3 linked regions of the Oryctolagus cuniculus genome follow. The main gene of each other region encodes a partner of the protein of the gene in region 2 in a complex. Links are inferred from orthologs where the notes say so. Each region holds a gene or a part of one and is shown on either strand. Other genes may lie near its edges. The genes, in order: TNNC1, TNNI3 and TNNT2.

Evidence for each region.
Region 1: the proteins of TNNI3 (region 2) and TNNC1 are in contact, whole or in part, in a crystal structure (PDB 4Y99), measured with the Homo sapiens proteins. The link is inferred for Oryctolagus cuniculus from reciprocal best matches to the Homo sapiens genes TNNI3 and TNNC1. Residues at the interface, in NP_000354.4 of Homo sapiens: Glu32, Pro33, His34, Ala35, Lys36, Lys37, Lys38, Ser39, Lys40, Ile41, Ser42, Ala43, Ser44, Arg45, Lys46, Leu47, Gln48, Leu49, Lys50, Thr51, Leu52, Leu53, Leu54, Ile56, Ala57, Lys58, Glu60, Leu61, Glu64, Arg136; in NP_003271.1 of Homo sapiens: Asp3, Ile4, Lys6, Ala7, Glu10, Gln11, Thr13, Glu15, Gln16, Glu19, Phe20, Ala22, Ala23, Ile26, Phe27, Val44, Met45, Leu48, Gln50, Glu59, Met60, Glu63, Glu66, Asp67, Gly68, Asp73, Asp75, Glu76, Phe77, Met81.
Region 3: the proteins of TNNI3 (region 2) and TNNT2 are in contact, whole or in part, in a crystal structure (PDB 4Y99), measured with the Homo sapiens proteins. The link is inferred for Oryctolagus cuniculus from reciprocal best matches to the Homo sapiens genes TNNI3 and TNNT2. Residues at the interface, in NP_000354.4 of Homo sapiens: Arg68, Glu71, Lys72, Ala75, Leu76, Arg79, Gln81, Pro82, Leu83, Leu85, Leu88, Gly89, Phe90, Leu93, Gln94, Leu96, Arg98, Leu100, His101, Arg103, Val104, Asp105, Val107, Asp108, Glu109, Glu110, Arg111, Tyr112, Asp113, Ile114; in NP_001263274.1 of Homo sapiens: Glu214, Lys217, Lys218, Ile221, Leu222, Arg225, Arg226, Lys227, Leu229, Ile231, Asp232, Leu234, Asn235, Glu236, Leu239, Arg240, Ala243, Lys244, Leu246, Trp247, Ile250, Tyr251, Leu253, Glu254, Ala255, Glu256, Lys257, Phe258, Asp259, Leu260.

What each region holds. Positions count from the first base shown.
Region 1 is NC_091441.1:97,258,087-97,267,684, reverse strand, and holds TNNC1 (troponin C, slow skeletal and cardiac muscles), read right to left. Parts: upstream 6,263-9,598; 5' UTR 6,020-6,262; coding exon 5,996-6,019; intron 4,587-5,995; coding exon 4,556-4,586; intron 4,342-4,555; coding exon 4,195-4,341; intron 3,992-4,194; coding exon 3,877-3,991; intron 3,721-3,876; coding exon 3,584-3,720; intron 3,508-3,583; coding exon 3,476-3,507; 3' UTR 3,332-3,475; downstream 1-3,331. Other genes in the region: NISCH (nischarin), read left to right, coding at 7,744-7,839. UniProt on the Homo sapiens protein: Troponin is the central regulatory protein of striated muscle contraction. Tn consists of three components: Tn-I which is the inhibitor of actomyosin ATPase, Tn-T which contains the binding site for tropomyosin and Tn-C.
Region 2 is NC_091449.1:3,698,385-3,708,000, reverse strand, and holds TNNI3 (troponin I, cardiac muscle), read right to left. Parts: upstream 5,674-9,616; 5' UTR 5,576-5,673; coding exon 5,534-5,575; intron 5,156-5,533; coding exon 5,069-5,155; intron 4,587-5,068; coding exon 4,545-4,586; intron 4,285-4,544; coding exon 4,153-4,284; intron 3,862-4,152; coding exon 3,772-3,861; intron 3,410-3,771; coding exon 3,233-3,409; intron 2,219-3,232; coding exon 2,135-2,218; 3' UTR 2,085-2,134; downstream 1-2,084. Other genes in the region: DNAAF3 (dynein axonemal assembly factor 3), read right to left, coding at 7,052-7,685, 7,764-7,838, 7,931-8,036, 8,236-8,350, 8,438-8,560, 8,644-8,769, 8,889-9,071, 9,219-9,376. UniProt on the Homo sapiens protein: Troponin I is the inhibitory subunit of troponin, the thin filament regulatory complex which confers calcium-sensitivity to striated muscle actomyosin ATPase activity.
Region 3 is NC_091444.1:17,355,734-17,365,481, forward strand, and holds the start of TNNT2 (troponin T, cardiac muscle), read right to left. Parts: upstream 5,196-9,748; 5' UTR 4,742-5,195; coding exon 4,600-4,741; intron 4,502-4,599; coding exon 4,424-4,501; intron 4,098-4,423; coding exon 4,062-4,097; intron 3,376-4,061; coding exon 3,342-3,375; intron 2,509-3,341; coding exon 2,448-2,508; intron 2,148-2,447; coding exon 2,031-2,147; intron 1,645-2,030; coding exon 1,567-1,644; intron 1,156-1,566; coding exon 1,045-1,155; intron 93-1,044; coding exon 1-92. UniProt on the Homo sapiens protein: Troponin T is the tropomyosin-binding subunit of troponin, the thin filament regulatory complex which confers calcium-sensitivity to striated muscle actomyosin ATPase activity.

The sequences.
Region 1 (9,598 bases), on a different chromosome or scaffold from region 2:
CAGTCTCCCTGTTTAACGGTGCAGGGAGAGGCTCTCTACAGGGGGGCCTCCTTGCTGGTGGTAGGTAGGAACAGACCACAGATCCATAGGCCCAGCCACATGTACCGTGTGCCATCTGGTGGACAAGGACGGAACTGCGGGAGGCCCTCCGTGGTGGGGTGATGGTGGGGCAGCAGAAAGCAGGGGACAGACAACAGCTGGCAACCACACAGAGCCAGAGGGAGACCTCCAGTGATTGCTGCTGATGGAGGAAATCAAGAGAGGCTTCATGGAGGAAACACTACCCAGGGGAAGGATGACAGTCCAGAGGCAGAGTACTGAATGCGGGAAACAGAACTAGGCAATGTGTGTAGGGAGAGATGCCCTGAGCTGTTGGGAGACTCTGAGCCCCGGGCCAATTCATGCGTGATGTGCAGGTTCATGTAGCAGGTGCCACCAGGTGGGAACATGGAAGGTCACAGCCCCTTGCCCACCCACCTCGTTGATAGAGATCGGGGGACAGCTTCCATGGGGCTCCAACCGAGGCACACATGGCCCTGGTCTGAGGCCGGCCCAGCCAGAGGGGCTGCGGCTGGCCTCTCTGGAGCTGGTGCACACCCCCGCTTCCTTCACAGACAGCTCGCCTCTCTTCCCCTCCCCAGATGCCCCTGCACGGCACCCCGTGCCTCTGGAGTCCTTGTCTTCCTCTCTGCCAATCCCTTTCTCCCCCCTAGCCTGGGCCACCTGCCCTCCAGGTCAGGCTGTGACCTTCTGCATGGGAGACCTCTACTGCATGAGGTCTGCACACCATCGACTGCCCTTGGTCCCCCACTCTTCCCACTCACCCACCTGCCTGCCTCTGCTTGCCTTGAGCCCCCCTTTCTCCTGGCCCGGCTTGGATCCACAACCCAGTGCGGTCACCAGACCCTTCGGAAAAGGGCCCGGAGGCCCTGTGGCTGCTGGCCTGCCGTGGTCGCCCATGTACCTCACTTCGCTCTATTCCTGCCTCACTGGCTATCCCCATCAGCACTGGCACGGCTCCCTCTGCTTAAGCGCAGGTCCTCTCCATGGCAGCCTGTCCCGGTGTCCAGCCTGGCCAGCTGCCCTGCCCCTCAGCCCTCTCCAGGCAGGCTCGCTGAAACCCTCCCCAAGTGGCCACGGCCCAGGGCCACGCGCTTTCACCCACACTTGCTTCTTCTCCTCCTGGCTGCTGGGCCCTGGCTCACCGAGGGTCTCTCCCTCCTGTGGCTGTGACCCTTCCCCCAGACTGCCTGCGTTTGGGGGTTCCAGCACCCAGCCCAGCACCCCTCTTGTCCAGCTCCCCTGGGGGCCTCCTCCATGCCCGGGCTGGGAACGGGCTTCTTGTGCCTGTGATAGCTGTGTTTGCGCGCTCTGCCTCCACCTGCTTTCATGTCCCTGCCACCTGTCTCGGAGGCATCTGCACACAGGGACAAGAGTCTGCTCGTCCTCCGTGCGCTCACACAGCGTCACCTGAGTCAGTCCTGGGGCCCCCCGGGCAAACCTGCATCGAGCGAGGAGCTACAAAACCACCGGCGGGGGAGCTCTGCAGAGGGGTCCAGGTCTTGGGGCAGTGTCACCCTCTGGCAGGGGTCGGGAAGCTCATGGCCGCTGGCGAGGTCTCAGGCTCCCGGGTCGGAGTGGACGTAGGGGGGACGCTGGGCAGCACGAGGGCACGTGAAGGAATAGCGCCCCCTCCGTGCTGACTTCCGGGGCTCGCTTGCTATGCTGTGGTTAGTTCAGATGTTAGCATTTGGGGAACTTGGGTGAAGGGCAAGCGGGAGCTTTCTGTGCTATTTTTGCAAGTCTGGGATTTCAAAATGTGAAACCCACTAGAGGAGCACAGGGGCCTCCGCTTCCCAGTACCCCACCGTGGAACCTGTGCCTCCCCGGCTTCCAGAGCCCGGGAATTGGCAGTTGGGCCAAAAGTCTAGCAGTCACTCCCGCCTCTTACTTCCTGCCTCTATGCCCATTCCTTCAGCAAGTTCTGCCCGTTCTGGTTCCAAAACGTGCCCTGAGCCCCTGCACCCCACTCCCTTCCCACAGCGTCCGCCTCACCCTGCCCCAGCCCAGGGGGTGCTCCTGCTGCCCCCACCTCCCCCTCACCTGGACTGAGTTTCTCGTGGGGCCTGGCCCTGACCCCTTCTCCCAAACCTGCTGAGGGAGGCTTGACTCCTCTCCCTTGCCCCACCGTGGCCAGTTCCCTGTGGTTCTTCAAGCCTTGCTCAAAGGACCAACAACTCCAGGAAGCCCTCCCAGACTACCTGCGGGCCCAGCACGCCTCCGCAGTCTCTATTCCAGCCCCACACTGGTGCTCCCATTGCGCTCGCTTCACTCTTGGTCTCCGTGGGTGGACCAGGCTTCACTCATGCATCCCAGCACCCACCATGGCCAGGCCCATGGCAGGTGTGTGAGTAAAAGGTGGGTGTGCTGTCGGGGGCTGTCCACTGTGGCCCTTTCATCTCTCTGGCTGCCCCTGCATGTCTGTAGGGCTCCCCGAGTTCTCCAGCTCCCAGGGCAGGCCTGAGGCTCCCGGGCAGCTCCTGGCAGCTCTGGCCCCCACCAGAAGCATCCCCAGAATTCCAAGAGTGTCTCTGGAATGCCAGGCCTGTGTGGGGAATTGCCTGGGCGGAGGCACAGGTGCAGAGGCCGGGACAGCTGTGGGCATTCTGGCTGGAGCCTGGGTGCCGGCGGCAGCTGCCCCTCCTGGGAGCGCCACCGCTGACACCTCGGCCTCCCTGCAGCCCCCACCGCCTCCCAGGGCGAGCCCCCTGTGCTGGCGCCGCTCTGGCCTGGGGAATCTGCACTGAGCTCAGAGGCCCCTGCCAGCCGCCAGCCTCTAAGAGTCACAGGAACCGGCCCATCACACAGAGCCCCAGCCAGGCAGCTTCACTCTTCTTCAAACTCCGGGGTGTCCTGCACGGTCCCGGCACCTCTCGAGGTCCCTGGGGTCCCGCCTGTGAAACGGGCGAGGGGAAGCAGGGCCGACGCGACGCCCCTCGGTCCCCAGGAGCTGATGTTTCTGTGGGTCGGAGCCAGGGCCTGCTGGGTCCCACAGGGCCAGCTTCCCCGCAGGCAGAGCTGAGAGGCACTGTACTGCCGGCTCCCTTCAAGGAGAGAAGCCCTGGGCTGCCACCTGCTCTGACCACAGCTGCGTCCCAGAAGCTTGTGCGAATGCATTACTTCAGCCATAGAAAGCAGTGTGCAGAGTGTGGAGCACGGCCACAGGCCCTGAGAGACTCCAAGGCTTCCAGCAGGGGCTGGGGATCCAGAGCAGGCGCAGACCCCGGGAAGGGCGCGGGCACCGGGAGGGGGCAGTCAGAGGCAGGCAGGCCACTGGGGGGCAAGGCTTTATTCACACCGCAGGCTGGGGAGGGATCCAGGGTCGGGGCGAGGGGCGGCTGACCCTCATGGCCCCGCCCCGGCGGCACCCCAGCTGGAGTCGGAGCATCTGGGCGGCTCCCGCTGAAGGCTGGGTCTATTCCACACCCTTCATGAATTCCAGGAACTCTGTGGAGAGAGGGCCAGGAGGCAGTGAGCGGGCCGCCGGGCAGGGCACGGCGGCAGGGCCCCGGCCCCTGCTCACCGTCGTAGTCGATGCGGCCGTCGTTGTTCTTGTCGCCGTCCTTCATGAGCTCCTCGATGTCGTCCTCCGTGATGGTCTCGCCCGTGGCCTGCAGCATGATCTTCAGCTCGTCCAGGTCGATGTAGCCGTCGGCGTTTCTGAGGGGGAGCCGGGGCTGCAGCTTGTGGGGAGGGCCGGAGGCACCCCTCACCCCCCTCACACAGGGTCCCTTCATCTCAAATTGGAGGCTGCCCACTGCCCCAGTTCTGCCCGGTCAGGGTGGCAGGCTCAGAGGTCAAGAGCAGCGCGCTCACTTGTCAAACATGCGGAAGAGGTCAGACAGCTCCTCCTCGGATTTCCCTTTGCTGTCGTCCTTCATACAGCGGACCATCATGACCAGGAACTCGTCGAAGTCCACCGTGCCGCTGCCTGTGGTGCGGGCGGCATGCCGTGAGGCAGCGGCCTGGACACAAGCCCCACGTTCTCCCTGCACCCTCACACCGCCTCTTGGAGGCGAGCGTGGTCAGTATGCCCATTTGACAGACGAGACAACTGAGGCTCAAACAGGCTAAACAGCCGCTGGACAGACAGAGCCAGGCCTGACCCCAGCGAGACGGGCAGGCGGGGCTCACCGTCTTCGTCCACCTCGTCGATCATCTCCTGCAGCTCCTCGGGCGTGGGGTTCTGGCCCAGCATCCGCATCACCTTGCCCAGCTCCTTGGTGCTGATGCAGCCATCCTCCGCGCCCAGCACGAAGATGTCGAAGGCCGCCTTGAACTCTGCATCAACAAGGTGGGGCCGGGGACAGAGAGAGAGCAGCGCGTCTCAGCAGCCAGGACCCCAGAGGGCCAGCTGCCAAGCTGCCTTCTTCCCTCTGAGACCGCTGAGGTGCCAGCCAGGGGGCCCAGCTTCTGGCCTCCAGCTGGGACTCCTCTCCTGGGACTCCCCCAGCCTGGCCCTGCTGTCCCCAGCAGTGCAGCAGGGGACACTCACCATTTTTCTGCTCTTCTGTCAGCTGCTCTACCTAGGGAGGAAAAGGGGTCTCAGGACACAGACTCAGGCCTTGGCTGCTTTCGAGGGAAGCAACTGTCCCACAGGTGGGAAGGCTGAAGCCAGGAGCCAGGCCACCAAGAAGAGACCTCAGCCCTCCCTTCCTGTCCCAAAGCCCTGAGGTGACACAGCTGGCCTCACTGAGGCTGGGCTCGGGGCCAGGGTGACAGGTGGGCACCCCCTCCAGGGCCAAGGTGACCCGGGGTAACAATAGCCAGTGACCACTCAACGCCCTTTCAGCCTCCCTAATGAAACCCAAGCTGCGAGGCCTGAAGGACAGCTGTCCCTCAGGCTGGGACAATAAAACTCGGGTGGGGACGGGCAAAGCCACCCTCTGTAACCTGACCAGGGTGACCACTGGGCTATTTTTAACGGGGGACAAAGTTAAACCTGGTGATTGTTCTGGGACTTCGGCATGCTGGGGGTGGGGCAGCGTTATCTGGCCCCCTGGCCTACTGCTGTCGCCTAGGGAGCCAAAATTAGTCCCCAGCCCCGCCAGGCCATGTATGGGCACTGGGCGGAGGGCTGCCTCCACCACCCCCCTGGTGGGGGTGGGTGGGCACACCCCCACAGCCAGCCATAGCCCTTCCCTGCCTAGGAGTGGGGCCGCATTCAAGGGGCTGAGGGAGGGTTCCCCTGGGGACAGCGCCTGGGCTCCCATGTGCTTGTCCCCGGGGCAGAGGTCACCCCCCCGGGATGGAACAGGGTCTGAAGCCCCTCAGTGACCCCAGCAGGGTGCAGGTACTTGGGGTGACCACTCTCCAGCCCTTGCTCCCTGACCCTCGTCCCCAGCTAAACCACTGAGCCCTGAGTTTACCCGTGGGCTGGGCCCCTCATTGTCGGTTCCCGTCTTCCCTGCCCCACCTCTCCTGCACGCACACCTAGTCCTTCCCTGCCTTGAGCTTCCATGCCCCTTCCCTAGCCCAGACTCGGGTCTTGCAGCCTGCTCCTCACGACCCCTGGCCACGTTCCAGTCAGCTAGGAAGTGGAGGTTGGAGGGGCACTGCAAGGGTGCGAGCGACAGGCTGCGAGGGGCAGGGAGGGCCAGGAGACAGGAGACAGCCACAGAGACTCAGAGAGGCAGCTCCAGGGGAGCTGAGAGATGCGGAGACATGATGCAGAGATGTGGCCGAGATGGGCACACAGCCTACAGACACGGGAAACAGGGGGCTTGACGGCAAAGGCTCTGACCCCCTCCACTCACCCTGCCAGCTCCACTAGACTGAACCCCCCCCCATGCCAGACCCACCGTCCCTTTGAAGATGCATGTTTGTGTGGGCCTCTCCTGGGTCCCCCCCACTTTGCTGGGGGTCCCCCCGCCCCCATTCTGGGCTAAGTTCCCAGCGGCTCCCCCACCCCAGCCCTGCCCCTCTGCTTCCTCACCGCAGCTTTGTAGATGTCATCCATGCTGTCAGTTCACAGGACGGCTGCTGGGGTTGCCAGCAGCCCTGGGCCTCGGCTTAAATAGCCCTGCTCTGCATTCCCGGCCCAGCCCAGCCCACCGCGGCGTGCAGCGTCCTCCGCCCCCTCCCCGTCCCGGGGAGCTCGGGCTGGCCAGACTCCCTGTGTCCTTTGCCTAGGGCAGGGAGCAGATGCAAGGCTGCAAGGAGCAGCCCTCTGCCCCTCACACCACACGTAAGACTCCCTAGAAAAGCTTCTTTTTTTTTAAAAGATATTTTATTTGAAAGGCAGAATAACAGGAGAGAGAGAGAAAGAGGGCTGGTTCCATTGGCTGGAACACTCTCCCAAACAGCAGCCAAATCTGGGCCAGGATGAATCCGGGAGCCAGGAACTCCAACCTGGTCTCCTACATGGGTGGCAGGAGTCTAAGTTCTTGAGCCATGGTTTGCTGCCTTCCCAGGCGCATCAGCAGGAAGCTGGATCAGAAGCAGATCAGTCCAGACTCGAACTGCAGTCTGAGACGGGACACCAGCCTTGGAAGCAGTGGCTTGCCCCGCTCTGCCACCCTAGACAGCTTTCTTGAACGAATGGGGGGAGGTAGAGGCCTCAGGCCACGCCTGCATGCGGCAGCTCAACCTTCCACCCAGTCGTGGGGATGCACACGACCGAGGCCCTGGAGGAGTGCTGACTTGGCCAAGATTCGGCAGTCTCGGCAGCCCTTGCCTTAAGCGAACCCTCCCCAAGTGAGGGACAAGGCCAGCACGGGGGGTGCAGGGCCCTGCGGAGAGATGCCAAATGCCAAGGCACGGTGCCATGGAACCGGTGAAGGACCGGGTAATCCGGAGCCCTTCAGCTGGAAGTGCCAGAGAGGCCACGGCCCAGGCCTCCAGTTTGCCCCGTGCTTGAGCCAGCTGCACTCAGATACCACCCCTAGAAACCTCCCCCTCCCAGCGTCTTCACCTGTAGCTGGGTCTTCCACTGGGTCAGGGCTTCCTTGCCCCTGGGCAGCACTGTGGCACCTGCCCGGGCGGGGGGGGGGGGCAGGGCCAGCCTGTCTCCCCCCACCTTGCGCTCAGGCAGGACACCACCTGGGGTTTCGCGCACAGCGGCCAGACCGTCCCCTTCCCTCCACCCACCATGCCAGCTCCTCTCCAGATTCCGCCCCCACCCCTGCGGAGCTCCCGCTGGATAAACTCCCTGGCTGGCAGACTACTCCGTGCTGGGCTCGCTAAGTTCTCCAGGGGCCACCGGGTCAGCAGATGCCCAAGCCTGGAGAGGTTTGGGACTGGCCGAGTCACGGGCCCAGCTCCTGTCTCCTGCCAGGAGGGGCATGAGTCTGACAGCCTGGGGATGCGCTACGACTGCCCTCTTTTCCGGAGAAAGAAACTGAGCCGGGCGGAACCGTAGCCCAGAAGGCCACAAGCCTTCCAGCCTCCTTTCTCCAGGGCTGGGACTCTTCGCTCTGCGTTCTGTTGCGCCGCCGCGGCGCCACGCAAACACAGGCGCCGGGAGCGAGCGGGTCCCGCGGGGTGCGCATGCGCGCCGGCGGCGGCTACCGTCCACTGCGCGCGAGGGGCGGGGCGAAGGCTGAGACAGCAGCGGGGCCAAGATGGCGGCGCAGCGCGAGGCGGGGGCGGGGGGCGGCGGGGGCCTGGGGGCGGTGGGACGCTGACCCCGCCCCCTGCTGCTGCCAGTCTGCGCCGAGCGGCTGTGGCGGCGGAGCCCCGAACATGGCGGCTTCGGCGGGCGGCTTCGGGCCCGAGCGGGAGGCCGAGCCGGCCAAGGAAGCGCGCGTCGTGGGCTCCGAGCTCGTGGACACGTATACGGTGTGCTGGGGGCGTGGGCACCCGCACCAGGGGTGGCAGCCGGAGTCAGGGTGTTGAGGAGGCATGAGGAGGGGTCAGGGTCCCGCGGCCGGTTGGAGTGGGTGGAGGCGTTTGCGGTTCCGAGGAGAGGGGCCTGGGATAGGAAATTTGGGGAGGGGTCTGGGTTCTGCAGGTCCGCAGGGAGGGTTCCGGAAAAGGGTATGCGATCAGAAAAGGAGACTTGGGTTAGGGAGGATCTGGGAATAAAGGGGCTCTGGGGAGGGAGAGGCTGTCCAGATGATGCGGACCCCTTCTAGATCCTCTAGGCCTGGAAGGGTGGTAGCCGTGGAGTGGGGGGAGCCTTGTCAGGGGGTCCGAGAGGGAAGGGGATGTGTGGGGAAGAACCGTGATGGATGCAATCAGGGTTAAGGACCAGGGCCCTGCCGGCGGGGAAGGAGAGGGGGCGGGGCTTGCTGGGGGTTGGCTGGGATGGCGGCAGAGATGTGCTCTGAGAAGTGAGGGGCTGTACTGGTATACAGGGGACCCTGGGGATCTGGTGGAGATGAGAAGGGTGGAGGCCAGCCGTGGGGAAATGGGGGGTGGTCTCAGAACTTGAACGCGGATCCAGAAACCGTGGGATAACCCCGTGGCTTTGGCTGTAGGCGGAGGTGGGGCAGGCAGCAAGCCCTGGCACATACTTCCAAGCCACAGGGGAGACAGGTCAGAAAGGGGGCTTGATTTCTGACCGTGGAGTAGGGGAGGGTAGGTGCCAAGCCATGAGCCTGGTGGGGTACCTGGCAAAAAGCGGCCCTGGGTTGGGATGCAGTGAGCACCTCCTGCCTTGTGCTTTGTTCCTGGAAGGTGGGGGGCTTTGACCCTGCCCCTGTGCCCACCCTCTTGGTCCACCTTCTAAGGCCCCTCCCTGGTGACTTTTCCTCTGGCTCTTTCTCCTTTGGGGGCTGGGGTGGGAAGAGGCACTGGGGCGGGTCCTGGAGCCACGGGCTTAAGCTGAAGTGACTCTTCTCTCAGTTCCCTGCTTGCCGCTGAGAAGGGCAGGAAACTTGGACTGGGGCCCCGCTAGGCGAGGGGTAGGACTGGCTGTCCCTCCTCTGTGGGCTGCAGTCAGCATGAGGCGGTCTCCATATCGGGCTGAGCCCCTCAGTGTGTGGAGGGGAAGTGAGGGTCCCTGCCGGCCCCCTCATTATCTGTCCCTGGGTTTGCCTCGTTGGACGTTAGGATGACGTCTGCCCTGTTGGCAGCATTTTGTATGAGAACTTCCTTGCTGCTTAAACCTACCAGAGTTTAAGAGGGAGAAACTGAGGCTCAGAACTTGGGCTCCGATTCACCTACATGAGTGATGCATAAGCCACAGCCAGGACATGGCAGAGCCAGGGTTTGGACCCAGGTCTTCCCAAATGGAAAGCCACGTTGCCTGCCTGTTAGGGCGCCGTTGCCTGCCACTGCCTCCCCCTAAGCTTCCTGGTCCTTGATTCCTCCTCAGCGCCAGAAACCATAGCCGTGAACCAGTTGAAAAAGTGGGGAAAGGATTTGCTTCCAGGAGGTAGACAGGGCACCGGGAAAGAGATACGGCAGAGAGACTGATCTCGCTGGTCGTGGCCCTGCTCTGCATGCCTGGAAGGGGTGGCCTCTGCAGCTAAGGCTGGGTTTGAACTCACTGGGAGCAGAAGGTGAACCAGAGAGGTGGCTCGTTGTACAGTCACGTTTCCAGTCCTCACTGATGGGTGGAGCCACAGGCCCATCTCCAGAGCTTCCCAGCCTC
Region 2 (9,616 bases):
ACAATGAGTCACCACCTGTCTCCTCCACTCACCTCCACATGCACACACACACACACACACACACACACCGCGTCCCTGAGACTACACACACACACACACACACCCCGTGTCCCTGAGACCCTCCACACCACACACACACACACACACACCCCGCGTCCCTGAGACCCTCCACACACACACACACACACACACACACACCGCGTCCCTGAGACCCTCCACACCACACACACACACACACACACCCCGCGTCCCTGAGACCCTACACACACACACACACACACACACCCCGCGTCCCTGAGACCCTCCACACCACACACACACACACACACCCCGCGTCCCTGAGACCCTTCACACCACACACACACACACACACCCCGCGTCCCTGAGACCCTCCACACCACACACACACACACCCCGCGTCCCTGAGACCCTCCACACCACACACACACACACACACACACCCCGCGTCCCTGAGACCCTCCACACCACACACACACACACACACACACACCCCGCGTCCCTGAGACCCTCCACACCACACACACACACACACACCCCGCGTCCCTGAGACCCTTCACACCACACACACACACACCCCGCGTCCCTGAGACCCTACACACACACACACACACACACACACCCCGTGTCCCTGAGACCCTCCACACACACACATGCACACACACACACACACCGTGTCCCTGAAACTACACACACACACACCCCGCGTCCCTGAGACCCTCCACACCACACACACACACACACACCCCGCGTCCCTGAGACCCTACACACACACACACACACGCACACCCCGCGTCCCTGAGACCCTCCTGGCCCAGGCTCAGAGCCCTTCCAGTCCCACCCCCTGGATAACCCACTTGTGGGCCCGGCTACCCCACGGCCCCACACCGTCAGGATGGGCACCCTGGGGCCCAAGCTCAGGGCTCAGCACCACACCCCGAGCTATGGCGCTACAAATGCTGAGACCCGATTCCCAAAATCCCACACTCAGACCCCTCCCCGGTCCTGATACCCCCAGAGCTGGAGACCCCCAAACCTGCCACTCAGACTATCTGACAGCCGAGCCCAGAACACCCCTCCTGAGGTCCCTGCAGACTCCGGAAGACACCCCGCATTCGGCACCCAGGCGCCCTGTGCTCTGAGCCTGCTCCTCCCAGACCCCAGCTCTCGCGCTCCGTCCAGGGCACTCCGTGGGGACGGCAGAGCCCCGTTACCTAAGGCTGGGGATGCAGACGCTGGATCCGCAGGCTGAGCCTTGCCTGGCCTGGCCTCGCTGAGGGCTCTGACGCACCCCGCGTTTATAGGGGTTTATAGCTGCAGGCTGAGCCCCGCCCCTGGGGCGCGGGGTGGGGGGGAATTCCTGAGCTCAGAGGAGGCCCAGCCCCTTCTGGCTCCAGAGTCAGGGTCCAGGCATCTCCTGGCTGCTCCAGGGCCCAGGCCTCCCCATGGGTGGTCTCTGAGCCTCTGTCTGTCCTGTGTGTGTCCCTGTCCCCGCCCCCACCCCTTTGTCTGCCACCAGGATTCCGCTCTGGTGACAAAAGGCTCTAAAACCGGGAGGCAGGTGTGGGGGGGGGGAGAGGATGGGGTGACAATGAGGCTGGCAAGCCCTCCCCCCAGTCCAGCCATGACCTTGAGAGAGCCCTGGACAGCAGGCTTCCTCCCCCCGGGGACCTGGCTGCCCTTCTCAGGGTCTCCCAGGGCTCTGTCCTTGTCCCCCTCTGGCCCCTGGGTGTGTGTCCTGTCGATGGCACTTCCGGGCGGGCCTCTGTCTGGTGCTCGGGGTCCCTGGGCGAGTCTGTGGCTGTCCATGTCCTCGTGTGTCTTTCTAGCTCCTGTCGGTCACAGGTTCCCTGGGAGTCTGTGCCCGCTGTCTTCCGTCTCTCTCTCTCCTCCTTTGCGTCTTTGGCTCAGTCCCTCTCCCGTGGGCGTCTCCGTGGGTGCTCCCCGTCGGCCTTGTCCTTGGCCTCTGCGTGCACCCCACGTGCAGCCATGAGCGCCCCTGTCGGAGGCGCAGGGCGGCCCCGCCCCCGTTCCCCCCAGTGTCCAGCACACCAGGACGCGGCCACTGCAGTTCGGAGCAGCTTTATTCAGCAGGGCGGGCCGGGCCGTGCGGGGCTCAGCCCTCGAACTTCTTCTTGCGACCCTCCATGCCGCTCAGCAGGTCGATGTTCTTGCGCCAGTCTCCCACCTCCCGGTTCTCCTGGGGGTGCGGTCAGAGGTTAGGGTCTCCTCCTGGTCCCCTCTCCCTAAGCCGCTGCGGGCAGGACCGCTCCACGCTGCCTGTCCCCTACAGTCGGCCGAGTTCTCTTAACTGCCTCTTGTCCCAGTCACACACTTCCTGTGTCATGCACTTCATGTCTGTCCCCTCATGCACTTCCTGCCTCCCCTCATGCACTTCCTGTCTGACCCCTTATGTACTTCCTGTGTCATGCACTGCCTGTCCCCTCATGCACTTCCTGTCTGACCCCTCATGCATTTCCTGTCTGTCCCCTCATGCACTTCCTGTTCCCTCATGCACTTCCTGTGTATCCTCCTCATGCACTTCCTGTCCCCCTCCTGCACTTCCTGTCCCCTCATCACTTCCTATGTCCATTATGCACTTCCTGTCCCCAATGCACTTCCTGTATCATGCACTTCCTGTGTGCCCTCCTCATGCACTTCCTGTCCCCTCATCACTTCCTGTCCCCCTCTCCTCCTCATGTACTTCCTGTCTCTGTCATGCACTTCCTGTCCCCCTCATGCACTTCCTGTCTGTCCCCTCATGCACTTCCTGCGTGTCTCCCCCATCACTTCCTGTCTCCTCATCACTTCCTGTCTGTCATGCACTTCCTGTCCCCCTCATGCACTTCCTGTCTGTGTCCCCTCATGCACTTCCTGTGTGTCTCCCCCATCACTTCCTGTCTCCTCATCACTTCCTGTCTGTCATGCACTTCCTGTCCCCCTTCCTTTGTCTCCTCCCAGCATCCTTCTCTCTCCCTCATGCACTTCCTGTCCTCCCTACCTACTCTTGCCAATGCACTTCCTGTCCTCCTTCCTACTTCCTGTCTTTCTCTTGCACTTCCTGCGGCCCTCCCATACTTCCTGCTGAGGACCCCTCACCAGCTGCCTGTCCCCTCAGCTCCAGGAAGCATCTGCCCAGGGGCCAGACCCTGGGGCTGCTGCCGCAGCGGCCCCTCACCTCGGTACCCCTTCCCTGGCCCTGGCCCGCGCTCACCTTCTCCGTGTCCTCCTTCTTCACCTGCTTCAGGTGGGCCCGCAGGTCCAAGGTCTCCTTAGCCCGGGTCCCCAGCAGCGCCTGCATCATGGCGTCTGCAGAGATCCGCACCCTCCGCAGGGTGGGTCGCTTAAACTTGCCCCGCAGGTCAAAGATCTTCTGGGTCAGGTCTGCAATCTGGGGGCGGCCACACTGGAAGTGGGGACCCCTCCCTCCTGCGGCGCCCCCTTCCAGCATCTCGGCCTCACCCAGCCTCTCCCCAGCTCCAGCTCCCAGACCAAGCTTCCAACCCTGGGAAACTGAACCCCTCTCCTGCAACCCAGCCTCGTTCGCAAGACCACCTGCTCAGCTCCACCTGAGCTCACTTCCTTATGCCCCACCCCCCACTCACATCCCTCCCCAGCTTCGCATATGCCGATCCTGCCTGGAACGGCCTTCCCTGCCCGTATCCCGCTGCCACCCTGCCAGGCTCATGGACTTGTCCCCGTCCCCTGGGGTCTGCGACTGAGGGCTGAGACCACAGCCCCAGGCGCCCGCACCTCGGTGATGTTCTTGGTAACCTTTGCCTCTACGTCGTATCTCTCTTCGTCCACCTTGTCCACGCGGGCGTGGAGCTGTCTGCACAAGTCCTGGCGGAGGAATTCCGAGTGTGTTGTGGGGGGCAGGCCAGAGGACCCTTGAAATCCTGGTCTGAGGGAGGAGGGGCCGGAAGTGGCCTTGAAGGGGGCGACGCTGGAGCTGCGGCTCCAGGGACAGGCACGCAGAGGTTGTATGGGAGCCGGAGACTGACGGGCTTGGGCTGCGGGGAGCCGGCCCTGGGCTTTGTGGCTGTGCGTGGTTGCAGGCCAGATTCTGCTTCCCTGAGGGGACAGGCTACGACACTGGACCCCCGGTCCTGAACGGAAGGTGGGCGCGGGTACCTGCAGCTCGGCGAAGCCCAGCCCCGCCAGCTCCAAGGGCTGGCACCGGGTGCTCAGAGCGCGCCCCTTCTCTCCGCGTCGCTCCTCCGCCTCCCGCTCCAGCTCCTGCTTGGCGATCTGCAGCATCAGGGTCTGCAGACGTGGGCGGGGCGGCGTCTCGGGATAAAGACAGCGCCCTGGCACTCTGCAGCATCAGGGTCTGCAGGGGTGGGCGGGCGGCAGCCCACCCCGGGGTCTCAGGATGAGCGGGTACCCCTTTAACCCTAGGCCCCGCCCTCTCCGCAAGGACACGTCCAAGGCCCCGCCCCACCTACCCAAGCCCAGCCCTAATTTATGCAAGCCCCGCCCCCTGGTTAGCCTGCCCCCCACCCCCACCCCCGGTCGACCCTCACCTTCAGCTGCAGTTTCCTTGAGGCCGAGATCTTAGACTTTTTCTGCCGGAGTGACACGGTTGGATGGAGGACTGAGACCCTCCGAGGGGCGTCACCATCCCTTCAGGCCCGTCCAGATGTGCGCCCGCCTCCAACTTGAAGCCCGCGTCCAGAGGAAGCCACGCCCCTCGTCCCCGCCCACCAATCTGGGCTCAGACTCTGGCTAGGCACCGCCTACCCACCTCCTAAGCAACGTCATGGGCAACGGAGCTCCGCCTACAGGCTGCTCCCACCAATCCGAGCCCGGCTCCTCCCAAGCCCCGCCCACCAGCTCCTCGGCCCCGCCCACGACCATGTTCCCTCTTATCCTAGGCCCTGGCTCCGCCCACAGGCCGTTCCCACCAATCCGAGCCCGGCTTCTCCCAAGCCCCGCCCACCACCTCCTCGGCCCCACCCACGACCACATCTTCCTCATCCTAGGCCTTGGCTCTGCCCTTCCCTCCGTGGTCCCTCCTGGGTCCCGCGAGGCCCCGCAGCCCGCCCACCTTGGCGTGCGGCTCCGTGGCGTAGGCGCGGTAGTTGGCGGAGGAGCGGCGTCGCACCGGGGCTGGCGCGGGGCGCGCTTCCCCTGCCTGGCGTGGAGGGGCCCATCATCACCAAGACCCTGGCCCTGCCCCCTGCCCACCCGCCCACCTAGAGCCTGGGGGTCCCCACTCAGAGTCTCAGGGGTCCCCGCCCAGCCTCGGGGTCTCCACCCAGCCTCTACCCGGGGCGCTCACCGCATCCCGGCTCCTGCAGGGGAAGAACAGAGGCGGGATCAGGGTGGGGCCTGTGCCGCTCCAGCTCCTGGGGGACCCCAGAGGCCTCCCTGGCCCGGAGGTCACGTCCCAGGAGGGATCCCCACACTCTCACACTTCCCAGCCCGGGGTCCCACCCCTGACTCCGTCCCAGGTCCCGGGTTCCCCCTGGAGAGCCCAGGCACACGCCCCCACCCCCCACGCCCTCGAGACCTCGGGGGTCCGGTGGCCCAGCCTCACGCACTCGTCTGCCATGCTGACTCAGGAGTGGGCGTCCGGGTGACCTTGGAGCCCCCTGGCCGTAGGGGCTCCTCCGGGCTGCACAGGGCTCACCAAGGACACTGAGCTGAAGGGCGAGGGCCGACTAAATATACCTCCCCGCCCCTCCTCCGCTGGGGCAGATAACGGGGCGCGTGAGCGCACACGAGGGGCAGGCGGGCCGTGTGCAGCAGGGCCAGCGCCACCCAGGGACAGAAACTGGACCCCTCTGCTCGGCCCCCCAGACCTCCATCTCACCCAGGCCCCAACCCTCCTCCCTCAGACTCACAGAGCCCAGGCCCAGCCCTCCTCCCTCAGACTCACAAAGAGCCCAGGCCCCAGCCCTCCTCCCTCAGACTCACAGATCCCAGGCCCCAGACCCCCTCCCTCAGACTCACAGAGCCCAGGCCCCAGCCCTCCTCCCTCAGACTCACAGAGCCCAGGCCCCAGATCCTCCTCCCTCAGACTCACAGAGCCCAGGCCCCAGACCCTCCTCCCTCAGACTCACAGAGCCCAGGCCCCAGCCCTCCTCCCTCAGACTCACAGAGCCCAGGCCCCAGACCCTCCTCCCTCAGACTCACAGAGCCCAGGCCCCAGCCCCCCTCCCTCAGACTCACAGAGCCCAGGCCCATCCCTCCTCCCTCAGACTCACAGAGCCCAGGCCCAGCCCTCCTCCCTCAGACTCAAGAGAGCCCAGTCCCATCCCTCCTCCCTCAGACTCACAAAGAGCCCAGGCCCCAGCCCTCCTCCCTCAGACTCACAGAGCCCAGGCCCATCCCTCCTCCCTCAGACTCACAGAGCCCAGGCCCCAGCCCTCCTCCCTCAGACTCACAGAGCCCAGGCCCCAGATCCTCCTCCCTCAGACTCACAGAGCCCAGGCCCCAGACCCTCCTCCCTCAGACTCACAGAGCCCAGGCCCCAACCCGCCTCCCTCAGACTCACAGAGCCCAGGCCCATCTCTCCTCCCTCAGACTCACAGAGCCCAGGCCCCAGACCCTCCTCCCTCAGACTCACAGAGCCCAGGCCCCAACCCGCCTCCCTCAGACTCACAGAGCCCAGGCCCATCTCTCCTCCCTCAGACTCACAAAGAGCCCAGGCCCCAGCCCTCCTCCCTCGGACTCACAGAGCCCAGGCCCCAGCCCTCCTCCCTCGGACTCACAGAGCCCAGGCCCCAGCCCCTCCTCCCTCTGACCCCTAACCCAGCCCCATCCCAGACCCCGACCCCAGGACACAGGGACACAGGACGCGGCGTGCCAAGTACTGGACTCTTTATTCTCATCATGTGGGTGCCAGCGGGCCCGCCCGAGCCCGCCCCACCCCTGCGAGGAGGTGGCCGGCGCCAGCTGGGGGCTCCGAGGTGGAACCTGCAATCCCAGAGAACATTCCAGAACGCCAGGGGCGCACATGAGAATCCCAGACAGGGAACTCGAAATTCCTGCGGGGAGGCTGCTGAGGGTAAAACCAAGAGCTGGACTACGCGGTGACTAATTCCGGGGCAGACCCCTCCAGTCGGAGTTGGGGTACACTGCCGCGGGGGGCTGCCTCAGGCGGCGCCGGCGCTTCCGGGGCCTCGGAGCGCGGCGGGGAGGTCTCTGGGGGCGTGGCCAGGTGCTCAGGGGGTGGGCGATCTGCCTCAGGAGGTGGAGCCTGGCCTTCAGGGGGTGTGACCAGGTCCTCAATGGGCAGGCTCTCTGCCTTAGGAGGCAGAGCCAGGGCTCCATGGGGCGGGGCCTGGCCTTCCGGAGGCGGGGCCAGGTCATCATGGGGCAGGCTCTCTGCCTCTGGAGGCGGGGCCGGGCATTCTGGGGGCAGGGCCAGGTGCTCAAGGGGCGGGCTCTCTGCCTTGGGAGGTGGAGCCTGGACTTCAGGGGAAGTGACCAGGTCCTCAGTGGGCAGGCTCTCCGCCTCAGGAGGCGGGGTCGGGGCTCCGGGGGGCGTGGCCAGGTGCTCCGAGGGCGGGGCCCCGGACTCCCGGGGCTTGCAGAAGCGCGCGAAGGTGTCCGAGGGGCCGGCCTGGCACTGGGCTGTGAATCCCGCCGCCAGGGCCTGCTGGCCAACGCGGGAGCAGAACCCCTGCAGCTGCTGCTGCCGCAGGTCCACCAGGTACCTGGGGGCGACAGGGACGCGTCAGGGGTCCCCAGCCCAGACCCCCCCCCCCAGCCCGCTGCCTCTGCCGGCGGCTCACCGGGCCAGTTCCACAACCAGGCTGCCTCCGGGAGCCACGCAGGCGCCCAGCTCGGGGCTGAGCTGCTGGACCATCCTGCAGAGGGGCGGGGAGAGGCTGCGGTGGACTGGATGCGGCCCGGAGCGGACAAGGCCGGGCCCCGGGGCTGGGGGCGGCGCCCCTCTTACCCGCAGGCCACGTAGAGCAGCTGGAAGCGGCCTCTGTAGCAGCCTTTGCGGTGCAGGGCCTGGGCAGAGCCCAAGGGCAGGAAGTGGACGGAGAAGCGTGGGGGGGCTACAGGTGACGACAGGGGGTCAGCCCCGGGGTGGGGGCGTGCCCAGCAGGAGCCAGGGCCCGGCGCCGCCCTCCCAGGCCCCTGCAGGCAGGACCGCGGGAATCATTTAGGAAAGGAGCAGCCATCGAGGAGGAGGGGTCCCGGGTGCGGGCACTGCTGACCGAGCCCGGACACCGGCCGCTGGCGCCCCCGGCTCACCTGCGGGCGGCCGCAGGGGGCTTCGCTCCTGGCCCTCGGCGGCTCTCGGGCGCCCCCAGGCGGCCATCTCCCGTAACAGCTCCGTCACGTTGTGCTGCGTGATCTCGCCCGCGGTCTGTGTGCGGGACAGCGCGGCGCTTAGGGCACCCGGACTTACCGCAGCCGGATTCCGGGGCCGGGGTTTGGGGCTCCCGCCGCATACCTTGACCGGCTGTCCATTGCTGGTCCGCAGGAGCTCCTTGTCGTCGGCTTCGATGCCAAAGCCCACGAAGGGCCCCGTGGCGATGTCCCCCCAGTACCCGCGCGCCACCACGCGCTCCCCGCGCTGCAAAGGCAGGGAGGGGAGAGCCAGGTGACGCGGTGTTGGGCGCCCTGATTCCCGGGTCGGGGCAGGCAGTGGGCGCTCACGTGGAGCAGGAGTTGGCCGGACGCCAGGGTTCGGTTGGGCACTCTGTAGGCGCTGGAGTCTCGGAGCTCAAAGGCCACCCCGGTGTCCCGCCAGCGTCGGAACTCCTGCGTGTGGATGACCTGGGCCTGGCGTCGGGGAAGGCGAGGAGGGAGGTCTGGGAGATGCTGGAGTAGCCCCCCCCCCCCCCCCCCCCGCCTCGCAGCCTCCGCCCTCGACCCCCGGGGTCACCGCCCCGACCCCTTACCCCGCGGTCGTGCAGCTTCATGCGCAGGTCCCAGTCACTGACCCCGTGCCGCGCGTCGTAGCGGGAGCCCAGGTAGTGGCGCAGCCGCGAGTCCCAGAGCCGCCTCACGGGGAAGGCCTGGGGCCCCTTCTCTCGGCCCGCCCAGAAGCGGAACACGGCCTCCAGCATGTCTCGCTCGCGGAACTGCGCGGCCAGGGTCGAGAGGGGGCTCGGGGAGGGTCCCCGCGGGAGCCACCCCTCCCCCAGGCCAGGGGCTTGGGAAGCCAGGGTTCAGACTCCCGAATCCCCGCGGGCTCCAGGCGGGGAGATGGGCGGAGGCCGGCCCCGCACCTTGAGGGCGCCCAGGGAGAGCCACGGCAGCTGCTCCGCCAGGAGGTCGGGCTCCGGCACCAGGTGCGCCAGGCGCTGGGCCTGGGTGCGCACAAAGGCGGCCACCGAGGGGCGCAGCAGTGTGTTCCCCCACACCTCCAGGAAGGTCTCGCTCTTCTCTGGGTGGTGGGGAGGAATGGGGACGTTATTCTTGGCCAGGAGCTTAAGGAGCCATCCCGTGCCTCGCCCATCCTGGGGTGAGCGGGTGACAGCCCAGGGCTCCTGACTCCACCTCCCCAACCCACCCCCACATCACCACAATCTCCTGTCTAGATTCCCCTGCCTTCAAAAATAAAAAGGTGGGGGCCAGCGCTGTGGCACAGTGGGTAAAGCCGCTGCCTGCAGTGCCGGCATCCTGC
Region 3 (9,748 bases), on a different chromosome or scaffold from region 2:
AGGTGGTCAATGGCCAGCACCTTCCTCCTCTCGGCTAGAATCTTCTTCTTTTTCTCCCGCTCAGTCTGCCTCTTCCCACTTTTGCGCTCTGTCTGAGCAGGACAGCAAGCAAGGAGAATCCTCTAGAATGTTCCTGACCCTGCCCCTGGCCCTCCCTAACCCCTCTGGGGAGGGGGCAAGGCCTGGCAAGGACCAGGAGCTGACCATCTTGCTCCCACATCTCCCCACCCTATCGCCTGCCCGGGTTCCCGGGGAAACTGAGGCAGAGGTCAGGAGGGTCTCTTCAGCACCACCCTCCAGCAGGCTGCTGTCCCCTCCCAGGGAGCGCCCCAAAACTATGGGGAGGAAGAGGGTTTGAGGACTGGTACCCACCTGGGCCTGCTAAACCAGGAAAGCAGGAGAGAAAGAGCCAGAGAGAGAGAGCAACAGGGAACAGAGACGGTGGGGACGGGGTGGGGGAGGGGACAGAGGCAGAAACACAAGGGAGAAGATTCAGAGCCCGCCTGGCTCCCCTCCCCTCGCAGCCCGGGGCGGGCCTGGTGAGGCCACCACAGGGCAGAGGCAGCATGGCTGGGCTGGGGACCTTAGGGGTCTAAGACAACGGCCCTCCACTGCAGGAGGAAAGCGCTGTCGCCCTGAGGACTGGGGCCAGCGGGAGCTGACAGGGATGGCAGGACTGGGAGTGGGATCCCAGGAGCGGCCACTGTTCGTCTGTGTAGCCCACAGGCGCCTTGCAGGTGAGCAGGGGGCCGGGCGGGACACCGAGTCGCTGGGCGGGGGCGGGGGCGGGGGCGGCCCCACGGCCGCAGGTGACAGCAGAGCTGGGCATCCAATCAGAGCTCTGATGCTGGGCTGTACCGGCCACCCTGGGGGCTCCTGGGCGCCGCCAGCATCAGGGTCTGCCCAGAGCTCCCTACCCCAGCAGAGCTAAGTCCACGGCCATGCCGAGAGCCCACTCGGGGGCTGGCCCGAGCAGGCCTCCACCTCCCACCGCTTCCTGCCGGGACCCAACCTGAACTCCGGCAGCCCCCGGCCGGCCCCCACCTTCTGGATGTAGCCCCCGAAGTGCATCATGTTGGACAGCGCCTTCTTCTTGCGCGCCTCGTCCTCCGCCTTCCTCCTGCTCTCCTCCTCCTCGCGCCGGGCGCGCTCTTCCTGATGGGCAGGGGAGCGGGGAGAGGGCAAGTCGGGGGCAGGCCGGGGACCCCCACTTCTGGGCTGAAAGGGGTGGTCTCACGGATGGGTCCACTTTTCCCCCTGCTGGCCCCGGAGCTCTCTGTGGGTGCCCCCAGCCCAGGCCCGGCCCTCCGGAGATTGTGAGCTCCAGCAAGGGAATGGACGGGCTCCTGACTCCCCCAGCAAGGCCCCTGCAGCCCTCCCTGGAGCTGTGTGGCTTTGGCAGGGCGGCCACGAGCCCTCAGGAAAAGGGCTGGGGGTTCACAGGCGGCTGTGCTGGGCCATGGGCGACATGGCCTGGTCTTCAAAGGCCAAGCTGGTGAGGTCCGGGAGGGGTCCGAAGACAGGACAAAACCGTGCGTCCAGGAGCAGGGGCCACGGGGCACTCACAGCCAGGCGGTTCTGCCGCTCCTTCTCGCGCTCCGCCCGGATGCGCAGCTGCTCGGCCCGCTCCGCACGCCGCTTCTCCTACAAGGCAGACAGGCGGAGGCTGCCCAGCGCGCCCCGCAGAGGGAGCCCAGAACCCACGGTGGGGGGGAGGGGTCCTATCACAGCCCGGGCCTGGCTTCGGCTCTGCGGGGCCCCCAGATGGATCGGACGCAGCTCCTGCAATCGGGGAGCATCCAGTCCAGGGCCGGAGAAGGCGGGGTCCCAGAGCTGCTCAAACCTTCCGGGATCCTGCAGGACAGACCCCAGCCAGCAGGGTGAGGGGCTCCTGGCGGCGGTGGGCTCTACCCACAGGGCGTGGCCCCCCCCAGCAGGGTGAGGGGCTCCTGGGGGTGCTGTGGGGCGGCGGTGGGCTCTATCCACAGGGTGGGCCCCGGGGAGCCTCTGGCGGGCGACTTGAGACCTACGATCCTGTCCTTGAGAGAAACCAGCTCCTCCTCCTCCTTCTTCCGGTTCTCGAAGTGCGCCTCGATCAGCGTCTGCAGCTCGTTCAGGTCCTTCTCCATGCGCTTGCGGTGGATGTCCTGCAGGGGGCGCCCCGGGGCTCAGGAGCCTCAACACCCAGACCTCCGCCGGCCAGCCAGCCTGCGCCCAACGCCAGCCCCATACACCACGAGGTCTCTCTTGTCTTCTCTCTCTCTCCCACCCACCAGGGGCCCTAGGGACCCCCGCCACCTCCCAGCCCAGCCTGCGCCCCACGCAATCCCCAGGCACCATGAGATCGCTCACTCCCTCTCTCTCTTGCTCTCGCCCTCTCACCAGGGGCCCTAGGGACCCCCGCCGTCCCCCCAGCCCAGGCCTGCTCTGCCCACGCCGCTGCTCACGTCGAAGTCCACTCTCTCGCCATCGGGGATCTTGGGCGGCACCAAGTTGGGCATGAAGGGCCTGTGGGAGGAGAGAAGGGGCGAGTCGGGGAGCCGGCCCTGGCACACGACCTCGAACTTGCCGCGTGACGTCAACTCTGCTGCGTGACGTCGACCCCGCCGCGTGCGCCGGCCCCAACACCTACGCCTAAAGGAGCTCTGGCGTCCACCCCGCACCCGGGTGTTGTACCTGGTGCGCCGGGAGGAAGGTGGCAGTGGGATTCTCGCTTAAGGAGAGGGAGCGGGGAGAGGCGAGGAAGCAGGAAGCTGTGATGGGAAGGCGGGCCTGTGGGACGCCAGCTCCCCGCCTTGCACCCGGCAGGACCGCCCCGGGACCCGGACCAGCGCAGTCTCAGCTGGTGGGTGACCCCAGGCCCAGGCGGGCGCGCGCACGCCCGGGTGGAGCTGACGTGAGGTTTGCAGCGCAGGTGCTGGGACCGCCTGGCCAGAGCAGGTTCCCGCCACCCACTGAGAGGGGCAGGAGTGGAGGTTCCATCGGCATGGGGAATACCCCCCCAAGCCCACCCCACCAGGGGGGTCGACCTCTGCCCTCGGCAGCTCTGTGGCCACCACCGCCACTTCCCTTTTGTCCCAGGGCCACCCCAGCCTCAGAGGGTGGTGATCTGGCCACCCTGTGCCTGCTCGGGGCGGACGCTGGTCCACCTGCTTCCTCAACAAACGCGCCAGGGTGGAATTCAGCCCTCACCCCGTGTGCAGTGTGCAACCTGTACAACTGTACATGGCAGTGTGGGTAGTGTGTGCTGCCACACCCCTAGCCCGTGCCACCTGCGCCCATCACCCTCCTGCACTGGCCCGGCCCCTCCCAGGGCTTCACCACAGGTCCATGCCACTCACCTGGGCTTGGGTTTGGACTCCTCCACGGGGCCATCTGCAGAGGAGAGCACACAGCCGCGGGGTCAGGAGGCCCCAGCCCCCCCCCCCACCATGAGCTGGCACCTGTGGGCCCCTGTGAGGCCAGGCTGACTCCCACAGCAGTCCCCAGGGGAGGGGGGTCTCAGGGGGCAGCCGCGTCCCCCGGCCACACTCTCAGCATGGACCTCAGCATGCTACTTCAAGGTCTGCTCTTGTCCGCCATGGCCTCTGGGGCTTCGCAGCCAGGAGGGTCGGTGGCCAGGTCCCCGAGGTGGTCCCACAGTCCCCTCCCAGGTCTCTTGGTTGCCCCCTGGACTTCCTGGTGCTGGGAGCTAGGTGCCCTAGCTGCTGTCTGGCCCTGGAGGTGAGGCTGAGACGATGTTCCCGGAAGGGCTGGGGCACAGGATGACGGCAGCAATGCCGCCCCCACCCCACCCTGGGACCCTCCACGCCCCGGGGTTTCTCCCCCACAGACCCCACACCTCCCAGTGGTTTGAGCTCTAGGAGCCTCATGGAGGGCGTGACTTCCGGGTCCCAGGGGCTGGTCACTGGTCCCATTGTCACTGGCCACCACTAAGACAGCTCCCGGGATGAGAAGGGGTGAAGGCCCAGAGCACCACACCTTGCAAGGACCCCCAGTCCCATCCTCTCCTTCGCTGGCCCCTCCGCCTCCCCAGGGCTGCTGGGGGGGCCCACACTCACCTTCATCCTCTTTATCCTCCTCTTCTTGTCCATCTTCTAAAGGAAACATGAGAAATCAACAAAGGGCCTTGTTCTAAGTGCTAATCCTCCACCCACCCCAGAGTCAGGGCCTAACCAAGGGAGAGCTGCTGGTTTATGGGGCCAGGGGTCTGCACTCACATGCATGCCCCTGGGCCCAAGACTGCCTGAGCACTCAACCAGCATTCACTGATTGGCCAACTGATGGTTGTATCCCACCCAGCCAGGAGGGGCAGGTGCACAGGTGGAGGGCTGGAGGCAGGTGGATTTCTTTCTGCCGCAGGAATGGCTCTGGGGGGTGTTCAGCACCCCGCGAGCCCCCAGCCCCCAGCCCAGGGCCTTACCCTCGGCCTGGGTCTCCTCGGTCTCAGCCTCAGCTTCAGCTCCGCCCCCAGCCTCCTCCTCTTCCCCTGCCTCCTGCTCTGTAGAGGGGAACGAGACACAGTGAACACCCAGGCAGAGGCCGGGACAGAGAGTGGCCGGCCCTGCCCAGCACACTGGAGGGATGGCGTGGATGAACCTGGAGGCAACTGGCGTGAGTGACGAGAGGCTGCCTCGAGTGCTTGGTTTAAGCCAGAAGCCAGCAAACCGCAGCCCAGGGGCCACGTCCAGCCTGTAGACCATTGCTTCCGATAAAGTTTTATTGGCACAGCCATGTGCATCCACAGACTCGCGGCCTGTGGCCTGCTTCCTGCTCCGGCTGCAGGGTTGGGGATCCTGGGTGCCCTCAAGGTGTAAAATGCCACCCGCTCGTCTGCAGCCCACACCGTCAGGGCAGACGGGTGTGACCAGGACTGTGATAAGCACTGTAGCCATGAACCTGCCTCTCCTGCGGTCTGGGACTCCCCACTGGGCCTTTCTGAACACAGAGCCCGGGAGGGCCAGAAAGCTGGGTGGGGGTGTGATGGGTGCGGTGGGTGCTGTGGGCAGCAGCAGGGAAGGGGTGGGCCCAACGAGACTCAAGCCAGGGACTGGGGGGCCCGGGGGCCCTGTCTGCCTGACCTAGCGCCTCTTTCCCCAGGGGCTTCCCTGGGGCTATGACGCCCCCAGCCCCAACTTTCCAGCCCACAAGACAGGCTCCACCTGAGAGAAAGTGCTGGGGAAGCCCCCGTCCTGAGCCCCCCGCCCCCCATCTGAAGGAACCAGCAGAGCGAGACTGAGGATGGAGGAGCTGCCTGGCAGTCAGAGGGGCTGCCCTCGGCAGCAGGCTGCGGGACCCTCTGTTCCCACCCACATGCTGGGCAGGATGCGGACCCCACCCTGCTGAGACGCCTGGAGCAGACAGACGGACAGACAGGTGAGGCGGACAGGGTAACCCCTGGCCCGTGCTCTGCCCGTAGGAAGTGCTTGGCAAGGGTCCTCGGTGACCGAGACTGACACAGTGGAGAAGATTCTTCCAGAAGGCATGAGAGTAGATGCCTGGCCCGCAGTGGCAACCGCCATCAGCTGCGCTGCCCCTCCCAGGCGGCCCCCGCATCCTGACTCCTCCCTGTCAGACCCGTGCTCTCTGGAACGAGCCTCGCCTGTCCCCCTTGCCCGAGTGCTGTCCCTGGGTGCCAGGAGCAGGTCCAGTGCCACCCCAGGGGCCATCTGCAGGCTGACACCGTGTTCCCTCTGACCTGGCCATTTCCAGCCCCCAGATCACTTGGTCCCCAGGCTCCTGCCACCGGCCACCTGCCTGGGTGCTGCCTGGCTCCTACGGAGGGCCCACACACAGCCCAGCACTGTGCAGTGGGTGGGTAGGTGGGGCATCTCAGCCCTGATATGGGCCCCTCAGTGGCCACACAGGGAGACAGCCAGCTGGCGTTTCCCAGCCCATAACCCTAAAGGAGAGATGTGATGACCAGCTCAGAACTGTGGCCCTGACTGGCCCCCTCTAAGGCGGGGGCCAGGCGCTGGCACCGGGGACAGCAGGTGCAGGAAGCAGAGCCGGGGGGAAAGGTACAGTACCATCTTCGTCCTCTCTCCAGTCCTCCTCTTCTGAGGGTCAGGGGGCAGCGGCAGCCAAGGGAGAAGCGAGACAGGTTAGTTCGGAGCAGAGGCGAGGCAGCGGTGGCGGGCGGCTGGCTGGTGCCTCTCGCACTGTGGCCCGGGTCCCCGCTCCCGGGCCAGCGCTCTGCAGCATCGGCTCCCCTGAGCTTCGGGCACCTCCACAGTCCGAGGGAACACCCCCACCCACCTCCCGGCCCGTGACCACTGAGGGGAGCTGGCCTGGCGTGCCCACCAAGGACTGCCACCAGGGGAGCCATCACGAATGGTAACCAGCAGCTGGGCTCTGGCTCTGGACCACGGAGCCTTGGAGAGGCTGTGCCCAGGAAGGAAGCTGCCCCGTGCAAGGCAAGCCCAGCGCCATGACCACGGGGCACAGCTGAGGACTCAGCCCTCGCTCCGGCCCAGGAAGGGGCGACAGCAGGTGGAAGAACTCTCCGGAAGCAGAGGCACTGGGAACGCCGCCGTGTAGGCGACAGGGCTTCCTTCCAGAGCTTGCTCCCCGGCGTCATCTACACCAGGGTCCCCGGCTGCGTGGGGGCAAGTGTCGGCCAGTCACGGCAAGCAAGCGGGGCTGCGTGAGGCGAGGCAAATCCTACTGCGTGCGGCAGGCAGCCGGGTCCCCATCCGGGGGGCTGGGTCTCAGCACCCCCCCAACTCAAAGCCTGTTGCCATAAAGTGGCAAATCCTCCCAAGCAAACAGAGACCCCTGTGTCAGGAGCGTGGCCGGATTTGAAGGCTACACCTGTGATTCAGAGGCTGCCACGGATCATGGATGAAATGCGCTGCTCCTTGCAAACCAAAAGGCAACCCCGGTGGCCTCTGACTGCGCTCCCGTGAGCTCTTGTCTTCTCTGGGACAGCCCCCATCCTGCAGGAGGCTCCTGCGCTGTTCCCTTCGAGGCCTGGGGATGTGGCAGGAGCCAGCCCTGGAGCCCCGGGCCCTGCCAGGACCCTCGGGGGATTCGGTTCTCCCAACGGCCACACAGCAGGAGCAGAAGTGCTATTTCTAAGACTTTGCTGGACCACTAAGAAGTAGGGTGCAACCTTGGGGGCTGGGTGGGCTCTTGGGGGAGGCCTCCGGGGGATTGCCACGCGTCAAGTTCTCGAGAAGCAGCAGCGGCAAAGATGGGCTTCCAGCGAGCGAGGGGACCAAGGCTGAGAGCCAGGGGCTCGCAGAGTGGAGAGGAGGGACCCTGCCAGGCGGCAGTCGGGACACACGCTCCAGCCAGTGTGAAACACCGTGGACAGCTGAGCGCCTGCGCTGTGAGCTCATTTGATAAGGGGGGCTGGGCTTGTGTGCTTTAAACAGCGCCGCCCTGTTGGCCCAGGAAGCCTGGGCTGTCAGTTCTCCGCTGGACGCCCGTGTGGGCACATGCGTCACTGCAGTGAGAAAGCTGGAGGCCGGGGGGAGGAGGGGCTGCCAGGAACCTGTCCTGCTCCCAAGGAGCTTACCAGCTGCAGCTTCCTCTGCTGGGAGCACAAGGCCAGGAGTCAGGAGAGAAGAGGGGTGAGGGTCAGTCTCGAACCCCACTGTCTTCCAGCCAAAGGGACACCCAGCTGTGCTTACCTTCCTGCTCCCTGTGTGCAGAGAAGATGCTGTCAGCAACAGCCACGCACGCACACACGCCGCGCCGTCCCGAGACCACCCCGGGGTCCCTCTCCCTCCCTCCCTCTTTGCTGGTGGAGCCCACACCCTCTGCCTGCCCTGCATCTTCTCACCTCGCCTCTGAGCGCTCCCCAGGGGTGCACCTGTTTAGAAGCCCCTCCTCCCAAACTCTTCTCTGCAAATCCTGCAGGCAGTGCAGCCCCTGCTAGCTGAGTCCCCCCACCCTGATGGGCTCTGTGGTCTCGCGAGAGGCCCCCAGCCCTTCTGGCTCGGTTTCAGGGAACCGGCTTCCCAGCTTCTCTGCTGGTGGCCGGCGCCCTCGCCAGATCGGTCCCCCTGCCCCCTGCACTGAGCCCCGCCCCAGACTGTTGGGGGACTGGCTTTGATCACCACAGGGCCTGAAAACAGTCACAGCTACTTCTGCCCTGTAGGCCTTGGAGCAGGTGCTAAGTGGGGGAGGGGACAAGCCCTGGCCAGCAGAGGAAACCCCTCCCCCATACTCACTCCTCGTACTGCTCCACCACTTCTTCCAAGTCAGACATGGCTGCTGCTCTCCCTCCAGAAAGAGAAGACGGTCAGTACGGGCGGGAAGGGCAGCCAGCCTCCCGCAGGAGAGCCCTGCCCCCAGGTGTGCACACACACACACACACACTCGTGCACAAGGAAAGCCGGGAAGTCTGCGAGGCTGGACCCACGTCCACGTGGTGACTGATGCTGCCCTGAGCCTTGCAGATGGTAGCGCCGGAGCGGGGGTCCTGGGCAGCAGGACATAGGACCCCTCCGTCTTGTTTCTTTTTTCTTTTTTTTTTTTTTGACAGGCAGAGTGGACAGTGAGAGAGAGAGAGAGAGAGAGAGACAGAGAGAAAGGTCTTCCTTTTGCCATTGGTTCACCCTCCAATGGCCGCCGTGGCCGGCGCACCGTGCTGATCCGATGGCAGGAGCCAGGTGCTGCTCCTTGTCTCCCATGGGGTGCAGGGCCCAAGCACCTGGGCCATCCTCCACTGCACTCCCAGGCCATAGCAGAGAGCTGGCCTGGAAGAGAGGCAACCGGGACAGAATCCGGCGCCCCGACCGGGACTAGAACCCGGTGTGCCGGCGCCGCAAGGCGGAGGATTAGCCTAGTGAGCCGCGGCGCCGGCCCCGTCTTGTTTCTTACAGCTATGAGTATCCCAACAAAACTTTCAGCCAAAACTGGGTTTCCTGGGGCGCTAGTTTGCTCCCTGCACTAGGAACAATCCGGATTCAAACTCTCTTCCCTCTGCTTGCCGGGGGCGATTGGCCAGGGCTTTCTGTCAGTTCTCCGTCTGGACTGTGGAGATAAAGTGTACCTATCCTGGCTCCCAGCAGCCTTTGCGAGGATCGGGTTGACATTAGTGGAAGAGGAAGGCATTAGGCAATGTCAGGTGCTTCTGTGCCCATGCAGTTACAGGGTGGGGCCGCAGGGACTAAGTGGGCGCTGGAGTGGGAGACTCGTCTGGCTTTGAACACTGGCCTGTGTGACCTTCGAAAGGTCACTTCCCTCCCTGCACCTGGGCTCTCTTAGCTCTGAAATTGCTCCTGTTCTGGGGCAGATGTGAGACTTGAAGCCGGGGTAGTGTGCCTGCCCCCCACGGGCGTCCAGCGGAGAACTGACCGCCCAGGCTTCCTGGGCCAAGAAACGTGAACGGCGCCCCCTGCCGCTGTGCACTGTGTGGCCCTGTCGGCTTCAAGGGCGAGAAGGAAAGGGTGATGCGAGGGTGAGGGGACAGTGGGGCAGCCGGGGGGTGAGAATGCCAGATGGGACCACCCTCTGCGGCTCCTCCCACGCCCTCTGTCTCCTGCCAGCATTGAAGCCACCGACTTCTCACCCGGGGTGCAGGGTGAGGACAGTGGGACAGAGAGAGCCCTGCTCACTCCTCCAGTTCTCCTTACACATCCCACCATGGTGGCTGAGACCAGCCCCAGGCACCCATTTGTGCACAGCCACTGAGAGCCACTGCTCTGGTGTCCGCCACTAGGCAGCCCCTTTGGAGCCAAGGGGTTAAAGCGCTCCCTGGTGCCTCTCTGGGTAGAGACCTCAGTCTTGGGTGCTC